3 linked regions of the Arabidopsis thaliana genome follow. The protein of the gene in region 3 interacts with the protein of the main gene of each other region in a pairwise test. Each region holds a gene or a part of one and is shown on either strand. Other genes may lie near its edges. The genes, in order: AT5G66940, AT5G15060 and NAC071.

Region 1 (3,400 bases), on a different chromosome or scaffold from region 3:
GTAGGACACTGCTTGAGCAATCCCTTCAAGAAGTCTTGTTCCAAATCATAAAATTCGTGAATGAGAAGAAGGATCATGTTCCTCCCATTAACGATGGTGTAATCTACTACCCTTTTGAGATCACTATCCCAAGGTACATCAGTCTTCATTTATTCACATATCAAACTGTGTTCTAGAGATCTTAGTCTTTAGGTGTAGCGATCCCCACAGACATAGATGAGTGAAGAATGTTCTTTATATCTTTGTTGTACAAGTGTTGAAATGAGTTAAGTTTTGTTTCAGCTCATCGGACTCTGCCTTTGGGATGGATATGTTCAAGAGGATACTACACAGTGGCCATCCATCAATGCTCGGCTAAATTCCATTTTCCACTTAACTTAGTACATATACACTTTGATGTTTCTTGGTGCAGCCTAACTCCAATCAACACTTTCCTAGTTACATTTTCTGTGTAAATATATTATATGTTACCCTCTCCTCGTCGATGGATAATGTTACCTTATCTATGCTTTGTTGTATATAAGTGATGTGTTGTATATAAATTTCAGACTTGCATTTCCTAAACAACGTGGACTGTTCTGTTTTCCAAGATTTCTAAAGTTGGAATTGACATTAAATAGAGCCAAAAAAACAAACAAACAAACAAACGTTTCTCTGATTTGAAGTTTCGTTCACAAGTAACCTAACTAAATAAGAACCAGATCAACTAAAACTGAAAGTTAGGGTAGAGAAGCTAAAAGAAGAAGAAGATAGATTGAAACCCTCCGATGAAGTAGAAGCTGATCCGATAGTCTCTATCACGCTACGTAGTCTCCAGACACGAACCCGACTTTGCTCTCTTGACCTTCAAACTGCCACGTGGCGGGTATTTGAGCAATGTGGCTTGTAGTAGTTGCAGCATCAGTAGCGCCACTTGAAAACGGCCAGACCGTTATTCCTTGCCCATATCTGACGTCCTCATAATACGACCCGTGACCAAGCCCAAGACCAAAAGCATCTGGCCCATTAAACCCGCCACCAGGCCCATTTCTGCTCACGGCGGCGTTGTAGTTGATCAAAGAGCTGAAACCGCCATAGAACGACGAAGCACTTCCCTTCGCCGTCGTGATACCGCCGTTGGAAGACGACTGAGGGAAAAGAACAGGCGTAGCTTGTAAGGGAAAGTTCCGGCTTCCGACAACGGAGGTGGTAGCGGCAGAGGAATAAGTCCGGGAACGTTTTGAGCTTTTACGGGAAACACCACCGACGGGAATGTCACGGAGAGTACCTCCATGAGTCCAGTAACGGCGACAAGACTTGCAGAAATGACGAGGTTGTGAGAAGTTGTAGTTGTTGTAGTAACAGAACTTGGTGTTGGTTGATTCACAGCGAGGACAAGAAAGCTGCTCTTGTTGATCCGTCGGAATCGCAACAGATCCTCCTTGGCCGTGGGGAATCTTAGGAACCCGACGAGATTCACTGAATTCAGAAGGCATGTTGTTGAGAAGAGAGGTTATCTGAAAGTTGAGAGTTTTTGAAGCTTTGGAGAGTTAAAGGTTGGAACTTTGTGATAGAGTAAGAGTTTCCTTTTATGGAGGAGAGGGAGAGAGAGAGAGATGGGGAAGGAGAAGAAAGTGAAGCTTTTTGACAGAGTATGTTGGGTTTATTGTGAACATAGAGAGAGAATAGATATGCTCTGTTTCTTTACTTCATTATACGTAGCTGGTGGCTCTTCTTTCAAGATTTTCTGTTTTGAAATAAAACCACGATTCTCTAATCTCTCCATCCATAATCTGTCACACGTTTTGATGGCATAGACATTAGTGAATGTTGGAAGAAACCAAAATTGAAAATAACTTATGATAAATAAGTGAAAGAAAAATCATATGATTACATTTGCTGACTAACAATGCTTTTGAAATTTTAATTTTAATTATGGTGTTATACACGTCGAATTTCTGAGTTAAAAGTTAAAAAAGGTTTCTACATGCAATATTTGTTTTAAGAAATACATTAAATTTTATGTCAAAAGTACGTGTCTACGGGAAGTGAAGACTGAACTGTGAAGAGAGTAGGCTACATGTAGTAGAGACTATTGAGCTTATCGATGTAAAGCAGTTCCCAATAATACAGCCATTATATTGTTAAGTGTTTAGGAGGGCTCATTAGCCTAATTTGTTGTGTGCATCTTTTCCAAAAAAAGAAGGATTAAATGGTATATGGACCTAAGAGATTGATGGTGTGTGTAGATGTGCTACCAATCACTACAGGTCCTTAATAGAATACCAGTATAAATGCAGAATCAATGCGTTCAGGTCCTCAAAAAAACTACATTTAAAACATCAAGTAAAAGTACTCAACAGTTTTACGTTAAACCAACTTGATTATCAATTTTAAGTTTTGTTATGGTCTTATCTTATCTCTCAGCATGCATCAAGATTAAGACAATGTTTTCAATTTGTTTTATCATTACGGTGTAATAATAGATTATAAATCTTATGTTGTTTAGGAGCTATAAAAAGTAAAAATCTAGACAATACCATGAAGACAGAATAACAATAGTCGGGTGAATTCTGACTTAACATGATCTTGAGGAACAAGACAAATGGATCTTTAAGGTAGAGAGAGAGAGTGTGACAAATGTGATTTGTTCCACAGGAAAGAAGAGAGGGTAGTAATTGTAAAATTGGGGAGGCTAAAAACAGTCAAAAGAGACAGAAGAGATTCGTTTTGTGAAGAGACAGAAGCGAAGGTTGTCGGGTAAAGAATGGATACGGAGAAGCTAGGAGTTAAGAAGCATGCAAATCTTCACTCCCTTTCACACCAAAAAGCATCCAACATTTTGGAGAGAGACATGTGAGAAGTATGTGCCAAGACGTGTCTACACTGGTTCAGAGCCGTCCTTACTCTGTGTACCGACCGGTCTAATCTGGTCAAATTCTGACACACCTTCTCTCTTTATCCCATTCTTTTTGTCCTTTTCCTCTCTGAGTCTCAGTCCTTCTCTGTTTCCTTTTGAAAGGGTGTTTTCGTCATTTACCTTCTGGTCCGTATTTCTAATGGGCCTAATATGTATACCCCTTGGACCATGGGCCTTAACATAAGAGATTTGTGACTGTTGTATTTTAGATGTGAATCTGACACCCTGCTAAACAAACCCCAAGCCGAGTCTATGAAACGAAACCATATATGGGCGGATTTTGTTATGACCCAAATGAAATCAACTACAAACTTACGTGGAAAAAACAACATTGTTGGGCTAAATTATCCTCTCTCTTTCTTGCTAACTAATCAAACGATAGTTGATAATTTGATATAGTTCTTCTAGATATATAGGTATTGATACTGTGATGTGATTTGATTAAAATGATATGCAATGTGACATGACAGTGTAAAGAAAACATGCAATAATCGTTCTTTA
Region 2 (4,235 bases), on a different chromosome or scaffold from region 3:
ATGGTGATTAGAAATGCACAGGCCAACTTTCATGCAATGTAAAATAGTTACCTCATACACTTTCCGGCGGTCATGAAGAAGATATTGGGGATCGAGTTCATTCACTAAAAAGGGCCTGAATATAGAAGTTTGAACTCAAAAGCCAAACTCAATTTATTTACTGAACAATCAACAAAGGTTAAAAAGGTAGAACTCACTTTCTTAAAGAAGAATATGCTTGAACTTTCTCAAGAGGATATCCAGAGGAATAGAAAGCAATCAAACAATCACAAATCGGCCAACTGAAACAGTAAAGGGAGTAAAGTCCCTGGTGAATTTGTGGTCCAAGAATATAATGGTACTTGATAATCATTAACTACACTCTCTCCATATAATCTAATAGAGAGAATTGGTACAAATCCATGAATTAAATAGGATAAAACCAAAAGTAAAAACGATATTCATAAATTTGTTTAGAGACGTACCTTTCTACTGGGTCTTCAAGTATGACCTTGTCCCCAAAATGTATAATCTAATAAAGTGGTAACAATGGGTCCATGAGATCACAAATAAAAAGGAAAAAAGAAGAGAATACACTATAGAGAATCCACAGAGACAGACACAAACAACTTGTAAAAATTACCCCAGGAAAACATCTTCCAATAAAATTGAAATCACAAATTAGAACTAAGTCTTTTCAAGAGACATTTTTATTCTCCAGGTGAAAAATCACCAAATGAAAAACCTGAGAAACATCAAATCCTCAATCATGAGAAAAATCGAGAAAGTGAAAAACTACCTCAAATTCGCCAAACGCATGTATCCTGTCCATAATTTGTCCCATGGGAGCTGAAAAAACCTAGAAAATCCACACACACGAACAATCTCAATAAGCGAGACATCAGAGTGAAATTGAAAACCTCACCGGAGTAACAACAGATTCAACGAAACTATCGCAATCTGTTCGTCAGAGCAAGAAAACGCGATAATAAAAGCACGAAAGGAAACAAAACCTCGGGGCCGCATTTCACCTTCTTTTCCATGACGCAGACTCCAATCGTTATCTTCTTATCAACACCAGCTCCTTCTTCCACCCCCATTTTCGCTCTCTCCTCCCGATACGAACCTCTTTCCGTTTCGTTCCTCGAACGACGTTCTCTCGTTCTCCGTCTGAAATCAGAGATTCACAAAACACAACGAAAAATTCGTTCAGAGAGAACAGAGACTAAATCGCTTGGGTTTGGAACAATCTCGGAATCATGGCCGCAACTAAGATAGGATCATAAATAGAAGAAACAGGTAGTGCATAACATGAGAGAGCAATGCGAGATCTCGCAGAGAAAAAGTCGAGGAGAAACGTTACTGGGGAAAATGATGATCACAAGCAGAGAGAGCAATAGCTAGAGATAGTGCGCTGATGGCACGAGGAAAGAGAGAGAGCCAGAAGATTCAGGCGTCAGAGGCGTTGCTTTGAATCAGAATTACAAAAAAAAAATGATTACCATTATATATAGATTTTGCTTGGTTTATTAAAATCATGGTCATTAATAATTTAATTAACCACCGACCGACAACTATACAAAACTCAAGTGAATTTTTAAAAAATAAGTGGATACATGATAATATTTACGGTGTTCTTTTTAGGAAGTTCTAAAATTGTGATTATTCTTGTGTATCCACAATTAAATATCACAATGTAATTATACACTAGTAAATTCACAATGCCTAATGAGAAGGTCAATAGAACGCGTTTTAAATTTTCAAGTAATCGAAATGGTCCATGTGTGTAGCCTATCAAATATATTGTTATCCAATCAAATGACTGAAAGAGCAAATGTTGAAGAAATATTGTCTGTTGGTTAAAGCCAAATTCTAAAATATTGTTGACTCATGGTTCGTCCACTAATTAGTTAAACAAAACGACTTGAAGTGGGGTTTATAATCTGGAAAAAAAAAACAGAATTAAACCGAGCTATAACGACATTTGTTATTAGAGAAGCTTTTTAATTCTTTATAATTATCAAATCTATCTCTTATAATTCTTCTTGCTTCACTCTGTTCTCTATAAATACTCGTTTCAATCTTTCTTTTTTCCCACTCTACAGAAAAAAAAAACTATAACAAAATCGGCGACGATGCCTAACAAACTCATTTTCTTCTTGATTCTCACATCAGATCAGTCATCATCTTGATGACATTGCAAGGCTCTTCCGGCGTAAATAACGGCGGTTATGTCAACCAATGCGCCGCTTGCAGGCACCAACGCCGTCGTTGCACACCGGACTGTTTCTTTCGTCCTTACTTTCCGGCGGAGCGACATCAAGAGTTCCAAAACTTTCATCGTCTACATTCCAATACCCGTCTCCAAAAAAAGCTCAAAGAATTAGGATTGTCTCCGGAGGAACAAAGAGAAGCAATGAGCTCGATCATATACGAATCCAACATACGCTCTCAATTCCCCGGCCCGTCGGTGGCTGTCACGAATACATTTTCCATCTTCGAACCCAAATCGCACTCGTCACCGCTGAACTACGTCGCACCCGTGATCAAATCACCGCCGCTTTCTTCAATCCCACCGCCGCCAGCTTCTTTAATTCCGCCGCTAACAACTTCTTAGATCCCTCCTCCGCCGTAAATCCTTTTCGAAACCTCACCGCAAACAACGACGATGGCACGATCGAATTCTTGAGCGGCGGAGGGTATTGTGGTAATTTCGTACACGAGGAGTGTGTGACTGAGACTAGGCCGTTAATCTTGGTTCGAATCTTTTTTTTTTTTTTTTTGGTAAAAGGTTGGTTCGAATCTTTCCCATGCAAATGCCAACGAAAATGACGTTAATCTTGAAGCGTTGGAACAAGAACAACTAGGTGGTGCTCCTCGTAACAACGATATCGAGAGAGTGTTTCGTGAATTCTTTACTGATGAGGAAATTATGTCTCTCTTGGAAGCTCAAGTTTCCCGCCACAAGTGGTACGTTTTCCGATTTCCTCATTTCATTACTTGCACTATTTAATTTTATGATTTTTTTTAGGATCAAAAACTGTTACATTATATGATTAAAACTACGCATAACTTTAAATATTTAATACAATGGCATAAACAAAAATATCTCCTTGTTTATTCTTGATTCCGTGTTTATGTCGTTCTATAACTTGAAAGAACTTTTTTTTTTTCACAGTTGGTAGTGCTTGCCAAAGTTTTTTTAATGTAGTAGTTAACATTTATTTGATTAGTTATGACTTTAGTGACTAGTCTAAAGATTAATAGACCGTATACTATATAGTATACATTTAAAGGAAGAATACGTGGGACCAATAAGCTATGCTTTTGGCCTAAAATGGCTTACGCATTTTATTATTATTTATAATTACACGATACCATCCTACTAATGCTGTTTCTTTTGTTTTTAATTAACAGTGCATATCAATCTATGACCAAGGATGATGACTTCCCATTTCCGTAGATCTTTCCACTTTGGGGATGAACTAGTCTCGATAGAGAAGAATATCTTTTGTACTTACTCTCTCTTTTTTTTTTCGTCGTACTTACTCTCTCGTAAAAATTCTTTTACTACTCTACATTCTCTTGTAGGCTTTTCTCCCATTTTCAATATGTAGATAACAAAAAAAAAAATTACTATACGAAAAGTAAAATACAGTTTAGACTTTCTGGATTCGTTTTAACATTATAGACTTTAAATAGGTCTGTACATTATTATCGAGAGAAAAAAAATCGGTTCAGTGTGTAACGCTAATTACTTGCACAAATTAAGAAAATCAATCTCTTAGTTTGGGTCTTTGGGAATTAATCATGTAAAGGCCGATAGAGGCCTTTGGTTTGTTCGACATTTTGACTCATCCATCCCCTTTAGTTGATATTTTGTATGTGGGCTTAAAGTGTTTCAATTCGGGCTTTCATAGATTTAAAGCCCATTAATCCTTGCGTGTTTAAGGGATTAGCATTACAGTGCTGATTAGTCAGCCTAATAGTCTGACAAAAGTCATTCAACAGTCAATAACTTAAAATGGGAAAGAATAAACTTGGAAGACCAGTTAAATGCTCTTCATTAATTTAAACCCTTTCCATACTACTCCTAAAAAAGTGTATCGTTTCTTAAGCAACCATTATATACTTACTAAAAAGAATTAGAAGATTTGAAATGACCATTTACTATTATTCAAACAATATATTTTCTTCAGAAATAGAAACTTTGACTGGGATAAAATGTACTTAAACTATCAGATAAATAACACATG
Region 3 (4,139 bases):
AGGACCGAGTTTCTATGACCTAGAACTAAAACTCCCGTTACATACTTATATCAAAGAAACGAGCTAGAAAAAACATTAGAGAAATGTAAAATATATCTCTCTCTTTTTGGTTAACCAAGGTTTACTAATCCGATATACAAGAATGACATGCAAATAAACATAGGGTTAAGTTGTAAAGTAGTCAGATATTTAAACTTAATTATGGAATTGGGCAAATTACTATTTATAATTGGATTTTTAGTCACTAACCTTTGACCCTATTACAGACAAAATCAAATATACCCCATACCAACTCTATTATTTACAAATATGCCACTAATCTTCTTCTTCTCCAATGTCGTTGAAAGCAATTGGGATTTGTGCTTTTAGATTCAACATTTCTCTCTCCTCATACTCACATTCTTTGTATTTCTTTATATATATATATATATATATATATATATATATATATATATATATATATATTTATTTATTTTTTAATAACCTCTTCAATCTAATAATTGAAATGCTTATCAATGTAAATTTATTTTCTAAATTAATTCAGATACATAAAAATCTATATTTTTTCTCTATAATTTGATATGCATTTTGTTAATAATTTTAAATATATTATATAAACATTTTTATTAGTAGTCAGTACAGTTAATTATGTGTACAGATTTTTATTTATACAACTTATTTAATAAGTACAAATTGAAATCGTCCAGCCATAATTGGAAAAATAGTCATTTTACTATTCACAATTTGCAAAGTAGTCACTTTTAACTGTTTGATTCGTACACTTAGATCTGTACAACATTTTTTAGTGTACAGATGTAAGTGTACGTTGTGTATATTTATATATATATATATACACTAAAAATATTGTACAGGTCTAAGTGTACGAATCAACAGTGAAAAGTGACTACTGATAATTGTATACTCCATACAATTATATACTCTGTACAGCTAATGCAACGTACAAAATAAAGTCTGTACACATAATTAAGTGTACCGACTACTGATAAAATGTCTGTAATATATTAAAAATATTAACAAAATGCATATCAAATTATAAAGAAAAATACATAGATTTTTATGTATATGAATTAGTTTAGAAAATAAATTTATATTGATAAGTATTTCAATTATTAAATTGGAGGGGTTATTAAAAAGAAATAAAAAAAAAAAGAATATTTCACTTTTATCTTTCTTCTCTGTCAAAAGGATAGTTCGGTAATTTCAAAACACATCACTTACCCCACCCCAAACTTCTATTTCACGCTCGTCTATTACACGCCCAAAGTGAGTTACATGTTTTGTCAAGTGTAAATAGTAACTTGCCCAACTCCATAATTATGTTTTCAAAAGTGACTAATTTGCCAACACACCTATAAACATATCGTTTTACAAAACGAAACGACGTCTTATGAAATTAAAAAATAGAAAAATAAGTTTTGATTAATTATAGGTGATAGTATTATTGAATCATTGATGTGTGAAGTGTGAACAAGTCTAACTTTAGAGACCAGGTAGGTCCACTTTCTTTTTGAATTTTGGGAACTCTTAAGACAAGCAATGTCTTTATCCGCTTTCGGTGTGTCGAGTTATTTTTTCTTCTGAATATTAACGGCACTGACTATTATAATACTGTTTGTTTATTCTACAGAAAAATTCATCAACATATTTTAAGCTATGATTAAATTTGCCTCACAAAGTTTCGCAACCTTTGTGCTATAAATATCATTCACCCCACAACCATTCAACACTCTACCAACCTTCTCTTCTTCTCTCCGATCTTAATCACTCTCCTAATCAATACTCACTAATAACTTTTTTTTTTTTTTGGTCTTGTATAGCTAATAAGTCAGAGAACCCTTTTCCTCAGTCAGACTCTTTGACCCGCAGCAATTAGCTCTTCCACCAACTGCTCTTCGTTATTTCTGAATTGTACCTTAAGTTTGTTTCTATTTTTTTTCTTAGGTGTTAGATATATTTTTAAAAAGAGAATTTTGGATAATTCGTTTTTTTTTTTGTAAACATACAATCTCTTTCAGACAATGATATTGTCACAAAAAGGATGCAATCAAAGTGAGTTGCAACTTATTTTCAAAAACAAATTGAATGTCGAAAAAAGTTTATATTTTTAGATTTTCCAAATAGTCAATAGATATTTAGTTAAATATTAGCTTTCGACAACTCTCTTGTGTCGCAAGCTACAAGTGTGAATTTTGCAAATGGGGAGTTCATGTTTGCCTCCAGGATTTAGATTTCATCCAACTGATGAAGAGCTCATAGGCTACTACTTGAGTAGAAAAATAGAAGGTCTCGAGATTGAGCTTGAAGTCATTCCTGTTATCGACTTATACAAATTTGATCCTTGGGAGTTGCCAGGTAATTTGAAAAGGAAAACAATTAGATTTTTATCCATAAATTTATATTTAAATAAAACTAAATTTGTTTGATTTTATCTTTGAATTTTAGGTAAATCTTTCCTTCCAAATAGAGATTTGGAATGGTTCTTTTTCTGTCCAAGAGACAAAAAATATGCAAACGGTTCTCGAACCAATAGGGCTACAAAAGCGGGTTATTGGAAAGCAACTGGTAAAGACCGGAAAATCACTTGTAAATCATCGCATGTTATAGCTGGATACCGAAAAACCTTAGTTTTCTATGAAGGTCGTGCCCCATTAGGCGACAGAACTAATTGGTTTATGCATGAATATCGTCTATGCGATATTGATGATCATTCACAAAAATCACCAAATTTCAAGGTAAGAAAATTAGAGTTCGTTTCATTTGATCCAACTTCATAATATTCATTTTTATGAACTAATGGAACGAAGCCTAAAAACCATATATATGTTTGAATTTTAGGGAGCTTTTGCGTTATGTCGCGTAGTTAAGAAGAATGAACTGAAGAAAAATTCGAAAAGTTTGAAAAATAAAAACGAACAAGACATTGGTTCTTGTTACTCTAGCCTCGCGACCTCTCCTTGTCGCGATGAAGCGTCGCAGATTCAATCGTTCAAGCCTTCTTCTACTACAAACGACTCTTCAAGCATTTGGATTTCTCCTGATTTCATCCTTGATTCGTCAAAGGTACCTACATCTATTATCTAAACCAAAATAGTTTTTGTATAGACAGTAGTGGTCTGATATGTGTTTTTGGTTTTGTGATTTTAAATATAGGATTATCCTCAGATTAAGGAGGTTGCTTCTGAGTGCTTTCCCAACTACCATTTTCCGGTCACCACGGCAAACCACCACGTGGAATTTCCGGTGAGCTCTTGTTATTTCAATGTGGACCAGGACATTGATCAGTCGATGCAAACCGGTTATTGGACAAATTATGAAAATGACCAAACCGGTTCATTTGACTACTCAAACCTTTTTTAGCTACAAGAAATGTTGGTTCGTTCTTAGGACAAAAACGCCTTTTAACGTTGGTGTCTTGGAACTTGGAAGAAGAAGAAGAACTAGTTGTGAACGTCTATCATTTTCTTTTGAGAATTTAATTATCTTACTCTTGGTTTTTATTTTAGTTTTATATATATTGTTTGCTAATATAAGGAATGAGTATAATAAATTCCTTATTTAAAGTTTTTTCGTATGAAGATTTACGTTATTATAGAGTCTTATTTTAATGTTCCGATACCTTTGATATGATATATGCAAAGAGAATCAATCATGTTCTTCTCAATCATTAATTGGACCAAACTTATATTATATAAAGCAACTTATGTAGAAGTCATAACAATCATTTGCATTAAAAATCCAATATTTTGTCTATAAAAGCAATAGTTTCGGGACCATTTTGACATTTCAAAAGTTTATGTAAACAAAATTCCATAAATATGCAGAGATTAAAATCAAAAACTATGTGACGCAGCAATTTGTTTACAGATGTATGAAAATCCCAAAAGCTTGCATTTCTCAATTGTTAGAGACCTTTCAAACAAAATTCTTTTTTCCATGAGCTTTCTACATTTCATTCTTTTAAAATTTATAAGAATATTTCTTCCTCTTGAAAATGATCTACGAAATACTTTTGATATATAGTCTATATGATTTACAAAATGTGAACAATATCAAATTGGGTCCATAGCTCAGTGATAGAGCAATTGACTGCAGATCAATAGGTCACCGGTTCGAACCCG

The links.
Region 1: the proteins of NAC071 (region 3) and AT5G66940 interact in a two-hybrid assay, tested with the Arabidopsis thaliana proteins (one large-scale study listed by BioGRID).
Region 2: the proteins of NAC071 (region 3) and AT5G15060 interact in a two-hybrid assay, tested with the Arabidopsis thaliana proteins (one large-scale study listed by BioGRID).

The regions. Positions count from the first base shown.
Region 1 is NC_003076.8:26,727,192-26,730,591, forward strand, and holds AT5G66940 (Dof-type zinc finger DNA-binding family protein), read right to left. Parts: upstream 1,525-3,400; 5' UTR 1,476-1,524; coding exon 798-1,475; 3' UTR 628-797; downstream 1-627. Other genes in the region: AT5G66930 (meiotically up-regulated protein), read left to right, coding at 1-133, 283-358.
Region 2 is NC_003076.8:4,873,742-4,877,976, reverse strand, and holds AT5G15060 (Lateral organ boundaries (LOB) domain family protein), read left to right. Parts: upstream 1-2,027; 5' UTR 2,028-2,170; coding exon 2,171-2,596; 3' UTR 2,597-2,949; intron 2,950-3,396; 3' UTR 3,397-3,645; downstream 3,646-4,235. Other genes in the region: AT5G15070 (Phosphoglycerate mutase-like family protein), read right to left, coding at 52-115, 198-281, 465-511, 779-838, 1,011-1,079.
Region 3 is NC_003075.7:9,978,116-9,982,254, reverse strand, and holds NAC071 (NAC domain containing protein 71), read left to right. Parts: upstream 1-1,699; 5' UTR 1,700-2,216; coding exon 2,217-2,373; intron 2,374-2,463; coding exon 2,464-2,753; intron 2,754-2,856; coding exon 2,857-3,081; intron 3,082-3,171; coding exon 3,172-3,378; coding exon of another isoform or gene 3,379-3,405; 3' UTR 3,406-3,552; downstream 3,553-4,139. UniProt on the Arabidopsis thaliana protein: Transcription factor involved in tissue reunion of wounded inflorescence stems. Required for the division of pith cells in the reunion process, which is dependent on polar-transported auxin and the wound-inducible hormones ethylene and jasmonate.